Schizosaccharomyces pombe: one gene and its partner. The gene in region 2 interacts genetically with the main gene of each other region. Each region holds a gene or a part of one and is shown on either strand. Other genes may lie near its edges.

Region 1 (3,987 bases), on a different chromosome or scaffold from region 2:
TTGAGAGTCCGGAATCTACCTTGCGCAGATTAGCTGCTTGGACGATCGCAACTGCCGTTCAAAATAATCCTAAATCTCAACAAGCGCTTATAGAAAATGATGGATTGAAGATTCTCTTCGGCGCCCTAAAAAAAGAGGATTCGGATGAAACAAAAAATAAAGTCCTTTATGCAATAACTAGTGAGCTTAAACTTAACGAAGCTGGAATTGCTTTATTAGATAAAATCCCAAACTCTTGGGAAATGCTGATTGAAATCTTGGAGCTTAAACACTCGGTTATGACAAAACGAGTTATCTTTTTTTTCTATGCATTACTTATTCAAGAAGATAAATCAAAACAAATTATTCTTCAAAAGGCACACGAATTTCAGATTCCAGAAAAAGTTTATCAATTCAGTCTTGAACATTCTGTCGATGAGGATTGTGTTACCAAATCTCTTCATACACTTTATTTATTCCAGAAAAATAAAGTGTCTGTCGCAAATACTAACGAGTTATTAAAGTCGCTCGTACAATTTAAGTCAGAGTTTCCTGAAATTTTCACCGTCGATGAATGGAAAGCATTTCACGAAGCTCTTGAATAAAGGTTGAAAGCTTCGATTACTATTTTTATTATTCATGTGGACTACGGAGCAATATAATGAGATGTTTTATTTCGTTTATGACTGATAAACAATTTTTTGGTTATTTGGAAAGGATACTCTAGTAACTGTGGTACTTAAAAAGTAAGATAATCGTAAATTCATTAAAGTGTACGAGTACTTCTGTAACTTCTATCTGGATTTTCTCTCTCAGTATATCTATCGCTTCTATGAGAACGTTTTTTATATGAATAACTCCTTCCTTGATAGTAATCATCTGAATAACGGTCTGTTCGATGTTGTTTCCGGCGCTCCGAATGGTATTCGCGATACTTAGTTCTGTCTGGATCTCTATCGCGTTTGTTGTAATTTCGTGAATTATAATCTAAATGTTTACTGCTCACTGAAGACTCTCTTGAGAGGTTGTTATCTCGGCTTCTTTTTCTGAATAGTTCTGAACTGGGAGTTAAGTTGTCAATGGAATTTGACTTCTTCTGTACTTCAGTATGTTCGTTTTGTGAATTCAGAGCGGAATTTGATTCTAGAGGCTTAACAGGAAGAAACATAGTCTTTTTTGGATTTTTCCAAATATCCAGCTCAGTAAGTTCGGAATCCACAGGCTTGGCTCCCATACCCAAAAACGTCGGCCTTTGATTAACATCAAAAGCATCTTTAGAAGATAATTGACCATTCCAACCCATTCCTCGAAGCATGGCGGCGCCAAATTCTTCAACCGGAATTTCCGAGTAATCTTTCATATTAGAAGGCTCCGGAAGCTCGTCAATGTCTTTTCTATATGCATCTTTCTCGTTAACAACATTAGTGGTAATCGGCTGTAAGTTGGCAGAATTAGCACTTTTAACATCGTCATTTAAATCATTAAGGACAAGTTGGACTTCTTCAGGAAGAATATCAGTACTTTCTTTATTTGTGGCTATCTTATTTTGAGCCTTTTCATTTGAATTATTTGCCTTCCAGTCCACAATTTCATTATCCGCTGCTGATGAAGAAGCCACCCGAATATTTAGACCATAATTTAAGCCGCTATCTGGCAATTGTGAAGGTTTCTCATGAACTTCTGTTTCTTTTTTTTTAAACCTGGCTTTTCTTTTTTCCATCCAGTTCTCATCACTTGCAATGTGGATTATCTTTGGCGCTCTTTTCTTTTCGTGTATGCGCTGAATAGTTTCATTCTGATAATGAACTCCCTCTTCAGCGCTAAATCCAGTAATAAGTTGAGGACCTTTTAATTTTTTTTCATCTTCATCCTCAGAATCGCTGAATGCTTCTAATACGGCTTTTCGCTTCATCAGAGTTATTATGATAACTCACTTGTTTGCGACTAAGCGTATTACAATGAACAAAAAAAATAAAATGGCAAAAATCGGCCAGATTATAAGTAGGAAGGAAAGTTTAAAATTACAGTGAAAATAGTCTTGAGAATAATCACATTCGTACAATGAGAGTTGTGAAGCTTTTCAGGAATTTTTCGTTGCCCAGACATGGAATAGTGTGTGCTCCCTTTACCTCTTTATTTGGATTACAGAATTCATGCTCATTTCTCCCTTACTTAAAACGCACCTTCAAATAGCAGTAAAAAAATAGCTTTTTTATTTAGTGGCATTTTTTATTAATATAAAAGTATAAACAATTTTGGTTGAAACGAAAGCCTACTGTTAATATCAACCTTTAGTCTCAAATTGCATCTATCCTTGTATAATATTGCATACAACAAGTTTTAAGGTAATCTTTAAAATACGTTAAGAAAAATATGTTTAAGCAAATAGCTTAACTCAATTAGCACCATAGATTTGGTATAGTGCGTTATTATGTATTGTACGGCAGTGAGCAATGTGTTTAATCAAGAACACTCCTTCTTAGTTGGTGAGTAGTTTACTACTTTTAAAGCCATTTGTGATTGAGCCTGGAATGATTGACTTGTTTGCGATAGTTAATAAAGGAGGCATAGTACTTTGGAAAAAAACAAATTCTCTTGTTAATTTGAAATGCCTTCAAGTTTTATTTCACGAAGCTTTCTTAAGTGAGCAAAGAACGGTGAACAACACCGTAACATTTGATCGGTACACCATGCAGTATCAAGAGGCTACACAATATAGCATAGTTTTTGTGGTAAGTTTAATATATTGTGATTTGTGCTTTGACAGAAATTGTCAATTACTATACACCCAAAATGAGGTCCAAAAATTTTTTTGTTTATACTTTATCTTTGATTTTCTATTATTTGTCAAAGTCAAAGCCATACCTTTATCGTGTCATTTGAACTTAATTAACGCGGTTGAATTTTTAGGTTGTGTTTCAAGATTTGAAATGTATGGCATATTCTCAATCACTGCTTAATAGTGCTCATAATATATTTCTGAATCTATTTAAAGAAAAATTAGAAGATCGTCAAGTTCCTAATGAAGCAGAAGTTGAAAAACTGTTCGCTCCCATTTTTAATCGTAAATCAGCACAACTGGAGAATGAAACAGACACGAAATCTTTACCTGTTGAGGCTAATAATGATAACTCAGCAAGAAAGAAAAATGAATATGAAATGAAGAAAAAAGGCGCTCAATCCAAGCAAACAAATGCCCCTAAAAAAGGAAAGAAGCAACTCAGAAAATGGGATGATCAAATAACTGAGGAAGAACAGGCTGCATTGAACTATTCTAGTCAAGCATCTTCTGCTTCCCAAACAGTCGATAATTCCCAACTTTCTTCTATTGTGGGTAATAATAATAAGTTTCAAAAGACTGGTAGTGGTGATGTTATTATAAGTGATTTGGAAATGGATCCCAATCAAACAATTTCCAATAAATCTGCATCTTCTGCGTTTTCCCTTTTCTCCAACTTAATAGGTGGGAAATACTTGAAGGAGGAGGATCTTAGTCCAATTTTAAAGCAAATGCAAGAACATTTAACAAAAAAGAATGTCGCAAATTCTATAGCTCTGGAGCTTTGTGAATCTGTGAAGGCTTCGTTGATAAACAAAAAAGTTGGTTCGTTTGATACTGTGAAAAACACAGTAAACAAGGCCTTTCGGGATAGGCTTACTCAAATACTCACCCCAAGTACATCTTTGGACCTTTTGCATAGTATTCGTTCTGTACGCAAAAACGAAAACCGTCCGTATACCATTTCTCTCATTGGCGTCAATGGTGTTGGAAAATCTACAACATTGGCTAAAATAGCGTATTGGCTTTTATCTAACAACTTTCGAATCTTAGTTGCTGCCTGCGATACTTTTCGCTCGGGTGCAATTGAACAACTCGGAGTACATGTGAAAAATCTCCAAAGTTTGAAGGGTAGCTCCATTGAATTATTTGCACAGGGATATGGTAAAGACTCGAGCTTTGTTGTTAAGAACGCTGTTGAGTATGCCAAGCAAAATAGTTTTGATGTT
Region 2 (4,494 bases):
CGATGTAAAGCCAGCGGCTGGTACGGTGAAGAATGTTATGCAAGCCTTTCTTCAGCCCGCTACTCCTGCCAAAGACACTGCATCAAAGGAACCATCCAAATCATCCCAACAGCCAGTACGCACAAAGCCACGAATTGCTCAGTCACCCTTTCTTGCCCAGGATGCCAAAGAAAATGGTGGCAATGTTGAAGTCTCATCCCCCTTGTCCTTCTCCGCCTCCAAGTCGCCTGCTGCTGTAGACTCCTCCACAAAGACACCCACTGAACAAGTTAATGTTGTATCAAAACAAGCCCCCACCACCTCTTCCACATCGGTGATTTCCCCAGATCCCCTCCAGACCGCTGCACCATCGGCAAATGTGAATGAGGTCATCGCCAGTTTAGAGAGTAAGGTTGTTACTCGACGCACTGGATCAGGTAACAATTATCGAGTGGGGTTACGAAATGTGTCTGGTAGTGAAAGGACAAAGTCGTTAAGCAAGGAATCACCAGTGGAGCCGGAAAAACCTGCACTACCGGATGCTACCTCGAGCTCAACACCAACTACCGAAAACAAAGAATCTTGGACTAACCAAGGCATCAAGTCTAGTCAACAACGTTCGGCAAATGCATCTCCTGCTACTTCCCCTTCTAATCAAGCATCCATCCATGCATCGTTTACGAAAGAATCGAGTACACACTCTTCTCCCTCCTTTACCTTGGAATCCTTGTTTTCTGGTGCTCCACGGGTCGTCGAGTTGACGAGGTTTTCTCAACCCAGCCCTGCTTGCAGCCGTGCTTTGTTGGCACGGTGGAAGGAGGAATACAGAACGTCTATACATTGAGCGAACCCGTCTACGGCCGTGCATGTGTTTGCTTAATGGAACTAGAAGACAAGGATGGGTGGACGGGTCAACCGAATTGCCTTTGCTTATGTTAGATAGAATTCTACCCTAATGTGCGCACGTTGATAGTTAAAGTCGTTTATACTACATTGTAGAAAATGTACATTGACTGCACCAAAACTCGGCTACCGTTCCTAAGTCGATGGTGCTGATTTTTATTTTGTTGTTGTATTGTATGTTCTGCATTCTCCTAATTTATGCTCTGCTTTAATTATTGTTAATTTTTTTTTCCTTAAAAACTTCCTTCCTATATTATTCTATTTCGCACGACATTCATTTTTGAACAACATTCTACCTTTATACGACACTATAGGATCCAATTCTTCTAACGTTGTACTAGTGTTTTATGTTTTTGTGCTTCTCATTTTTATGTTTTGTACATTGTTTTCTAAGTTAGTTATTCTAATGTTGCATTGTACATCTCATTCTTTCCCTATAATTAATTGCCTTGATAATCCTTTTACTTTCTCCTACTTGAGTACTAGCGCAATGCTGTTTACAACTCTACTCGACATTGTTTTTTAACGTTGTACTGTAGCCCACTACATCTGCGGTTTGTTTACAGGACTGTTGTATAACGAGTAGTTATTGTTGCTGTTACATTGCCATAGATTTCAGTAACTTGAGTTTTTCCGCAAGTACCCTTATGAGTGCATTGCTTTTTTTTTGTCCAAGACCTTACCGGCAGTTCCCTGGTAACGAGGCCTGAGGCAAAACCCCTTCTGTCAAAACAGTAGAGTGGAGCAGTAACTGCTTTTAATAGGAGTCTTTGTATCATCCAGATCTGGACTTGTGGTACAGAACATTTGGCAGAAGTTGGTGGTGGTAATAAAACAAGAAGTTTGAAAACAAAAAAAAAAAAAAAAAATGATTTTCGTAAGTCGTTTAAAGAAAAGTGAAAAGTGTTTTTTCTTTATACTGCACTCGTTGGTCAAGTGAATGAACTAACTTTTTCCTGCGCTTAACTATTTACCAATCTCCACTCTTCAAAGTAGCAAGATCCATTCGCGCCATTTTTAGTTGATCCGGTTTGATGGAATAACTGCTTGGCGCTCGTTCATTCGTTCTTTAAGGTTCAAAATGGACATTTTTATTTCAACTCTAATTACGATATCGGCAGTTGGGAGAGGAGGCAAAAGGCCAAATTTTTAGTTTATAAAAAGGAGCATCTCCTTTCATCTATTCTGCAGAAACCAAGGCTTGTATTGTGAGACGTAAAGCGTTCAATTGCAAGGTTTCCCCATTGCTAGTCTCGTTGACAGTCATTCCTTGGCTTTAGAAAAAGAAGTTTGCTTATTTACTTTTTTCACTAATTTTGGAATTCCGTCTTTTTGAGCTACTTGTTTGTTTAGACATTTTAATTCTTTAATTGTTTACAATTTACTGTCTTTTTTCCTTCATAATAGAAACGCATATCGAGGTTTGAATAGGTCGAAATAGAAATATTTTGTTTTGTTAATCGTCCATCATCTCATTTCATTCACATTCCATCGATCGGTGCTATATTCTCTTTATTTATTCAGCTTAATTGCCCGATTTTTTTTTTAAATTATTTCTTACCTTTTTTTTTTTGGTTTGGTAAAAAATGAGCTGTGTTACTAGAGCCCCCATGTCTGTACCCCAGACTGCCCTTCAACCTAATTCCTACGTTAATTTCGACGCTCAACAAACATCTTCTACTCTGCTTCCAGTAGAAGTCATTGACTCGGTCATGCAGTATTTACCTGCACACGACGTTATCCAGTCTAGCTTCGCCAGTTATCCATTGACTTTGATTGCCAACAAGATCATTCGTGCTCGTCTTTCCTTCTTAGACGAATATTCACTTCGCGTTTTTGCAAAGGATGTCTATACCGATTCACCGATTTGCAACTTGTCTGCCCGTCGCGGTTTGTATTCTTTACAATATGATGGTTATTCGGTATTCCACTTGGATCCTAACAATTGCTCCTCTATTTTTCAAATCTCCTTTGAGGACGACGAGGATCTAGCTTCTTTTGAACGATACCCTGGGGAGTTTCTTGCTCCCCATATCAATGTTCGAATTCACGTTACCTTGTCTCGTTCTTCCTGCGATCGTCATCAAGCCGATATATTTTCTTGCTTTCAAGATCCTATTCGTGTCCGCCGGGATTGGCTTGATTCGATAAAACCCGGTCAACCTGAAACACTTTGGTTTGATCAAAACACTCAACATGTCATCGGTCTAATTGTTACAAGAGTTGATGCTGCTCCTGGAAAGTATGATCTTTCTGTTACATCTGTTATTGTTCAAACGGAGTACCTTTTATCTTGCCTCGAGAAAAGAGTACATTAAAAAAGAACTTTTTCCATTCTGCATTGTTTAATATTCTATTATTTAATTCTCATGAGACAATCATGATTGCGTTCCGTTTTCTTTTAATGTTTATTTTCGTTGCTTGACAAGCCTGTGTCGCTCACGACTTCTTTGTTTGACATTTTGTACTTATTATTCTTTTAATTAAAAATTTAATTTACCTGTGATGTATGTTTTGCTGTGTTAATACATCCTGGTTTCTCATTTAATAAATGCGTTTATACATTTTACGCAGTCGACTGGTTTTTTTTTTCAGCGTTGTTTTAATTTCATTCAGCATTTGGCTTCATGTACAAAATTTATTTCTTAACATTTTTTTTCTAATAAACTTTTTTTTGTTGTACTGAAAAGTAAAAACCTACCTTTTTTTAAATTGCTCAATCAATTGAATGTTGTTTTCACGTTTCTCATTTCTACGAATATTTTAGCCTTTGTAAAATCTTTTTAATAGACGCTTAATCTTGTAAATGTGACTAAGTCTATACTACGTTCTTTCGCTCCAGTCAGTCTGCATTGTTTTGAGAGTTAGTGATTTTATGCTGGAATCGACGTGGTTATTTCGCAAATCTTTTAAATATGTAGTGAAAGCAGTATTTGTTTATATTATTGAAGAACTGTAAAATTTAGGTTTGACATTGGTGGTTTTTTGGCTTTACAACTCGTCTGTTAACGGAATTGGGTAGTGTTCAAATAAAATTTAAAATTGGTAGAACTCTGGGATAAGTTTTAGTATTTATGTTTCTATGCAAATAAAGATAAGCTTACTTGTTTCATTTTTTCTTTAAATTCTATATATCTTCATTGTTTTTACATGTCAACCAAGAATACGAATGTTTGGTTCATAAACATACCTCAATACATTGACACCACCACCCGTCACCATGAAATGCGTCGAATGCGGCGCGGAAGTCGATTCTTTATACACATATTATGGAAGGGGTACCAGTAATATTCGACTAGCTCAATGCGTAAGTAATATACACACAATATGTTTCGTTGATGTAGTCAACTTGATCGTAAGGAGCTAAGGGCAAGTCCATTCCAACGGCGACGAAAAGAAGCTTCATGAATATTTTTCTCTTCAAATATAATTTACATTATTGTAAGCAAATGACGATCATTCAATTTTTGTCTCCATTTATCTTGCTTAATGAATACTGAGAGTGGAATGCGTAGTCTTGCTGTAATCGTTAAGATCGACTTGTTCTTTAGTTTTTTTTAAGTACAATTTCAAACTAACGACTATGTTACAGAAAAACTGCAAACAGTTTGC

The links.
Region 1: mutations in pof15 (region 2) and cwf28 together harm fitness more than expected from each alone (negative genetic interaction), as found in Schizosaccharomyces pombe (one large-scale study listed by BioGRID).

The regions. Positions count from the first base shown.
Region 1 is NC_003423.3:3,990,947-3,994,933, forward strand, and holds cwf28 (splicing factor Cwf28), read right to left. Parts: upstream 2,040-3,987; 5' UTR 1,892-2,039; coding exon 746-1,891; 3' UTR 666-745; downstream 1-665. Other genes in the region: fes1 (Hsp70 nucleotide exchange factor), read left to right, coding at 1-584; signal recognition particle receptor alpha subunit Srp101, read left to right, coding at 2,511-2,711, 2,890-3,987. UniProt on the Schizosaccharomyces pombe protein: Involved in spliceosome maturation and the first step of pre-mRNA splicing.
Region 2 is NC_003424.3:1,888,452-1,892,945, forward strand, and holds pof15 (F-box protein), read left to right. Parts: upstream 1-2,071; 5' UTR 2,072-2,468; coding exon 2,469-3,200; 3' UTR 3,201-3,639; downstream 3,640-4,494. Other genes in the region: SPOM_SPAPB1A10.13 (uncharacterized protein), read left to right, coding at 1-823; Arv1-like family protein Arv1, read left to right, coding at 4,103-4,189, 4,475-4,494. UniProt on the Schizosaccharomyces pombe protein: Probable substrate recognition component of a SCF (SKP1-CUL1-F-box protein) E3 ubiquitin-protein ligase complex that mediates the ubiquitination and subsequent proteasomal degradation of target proteins.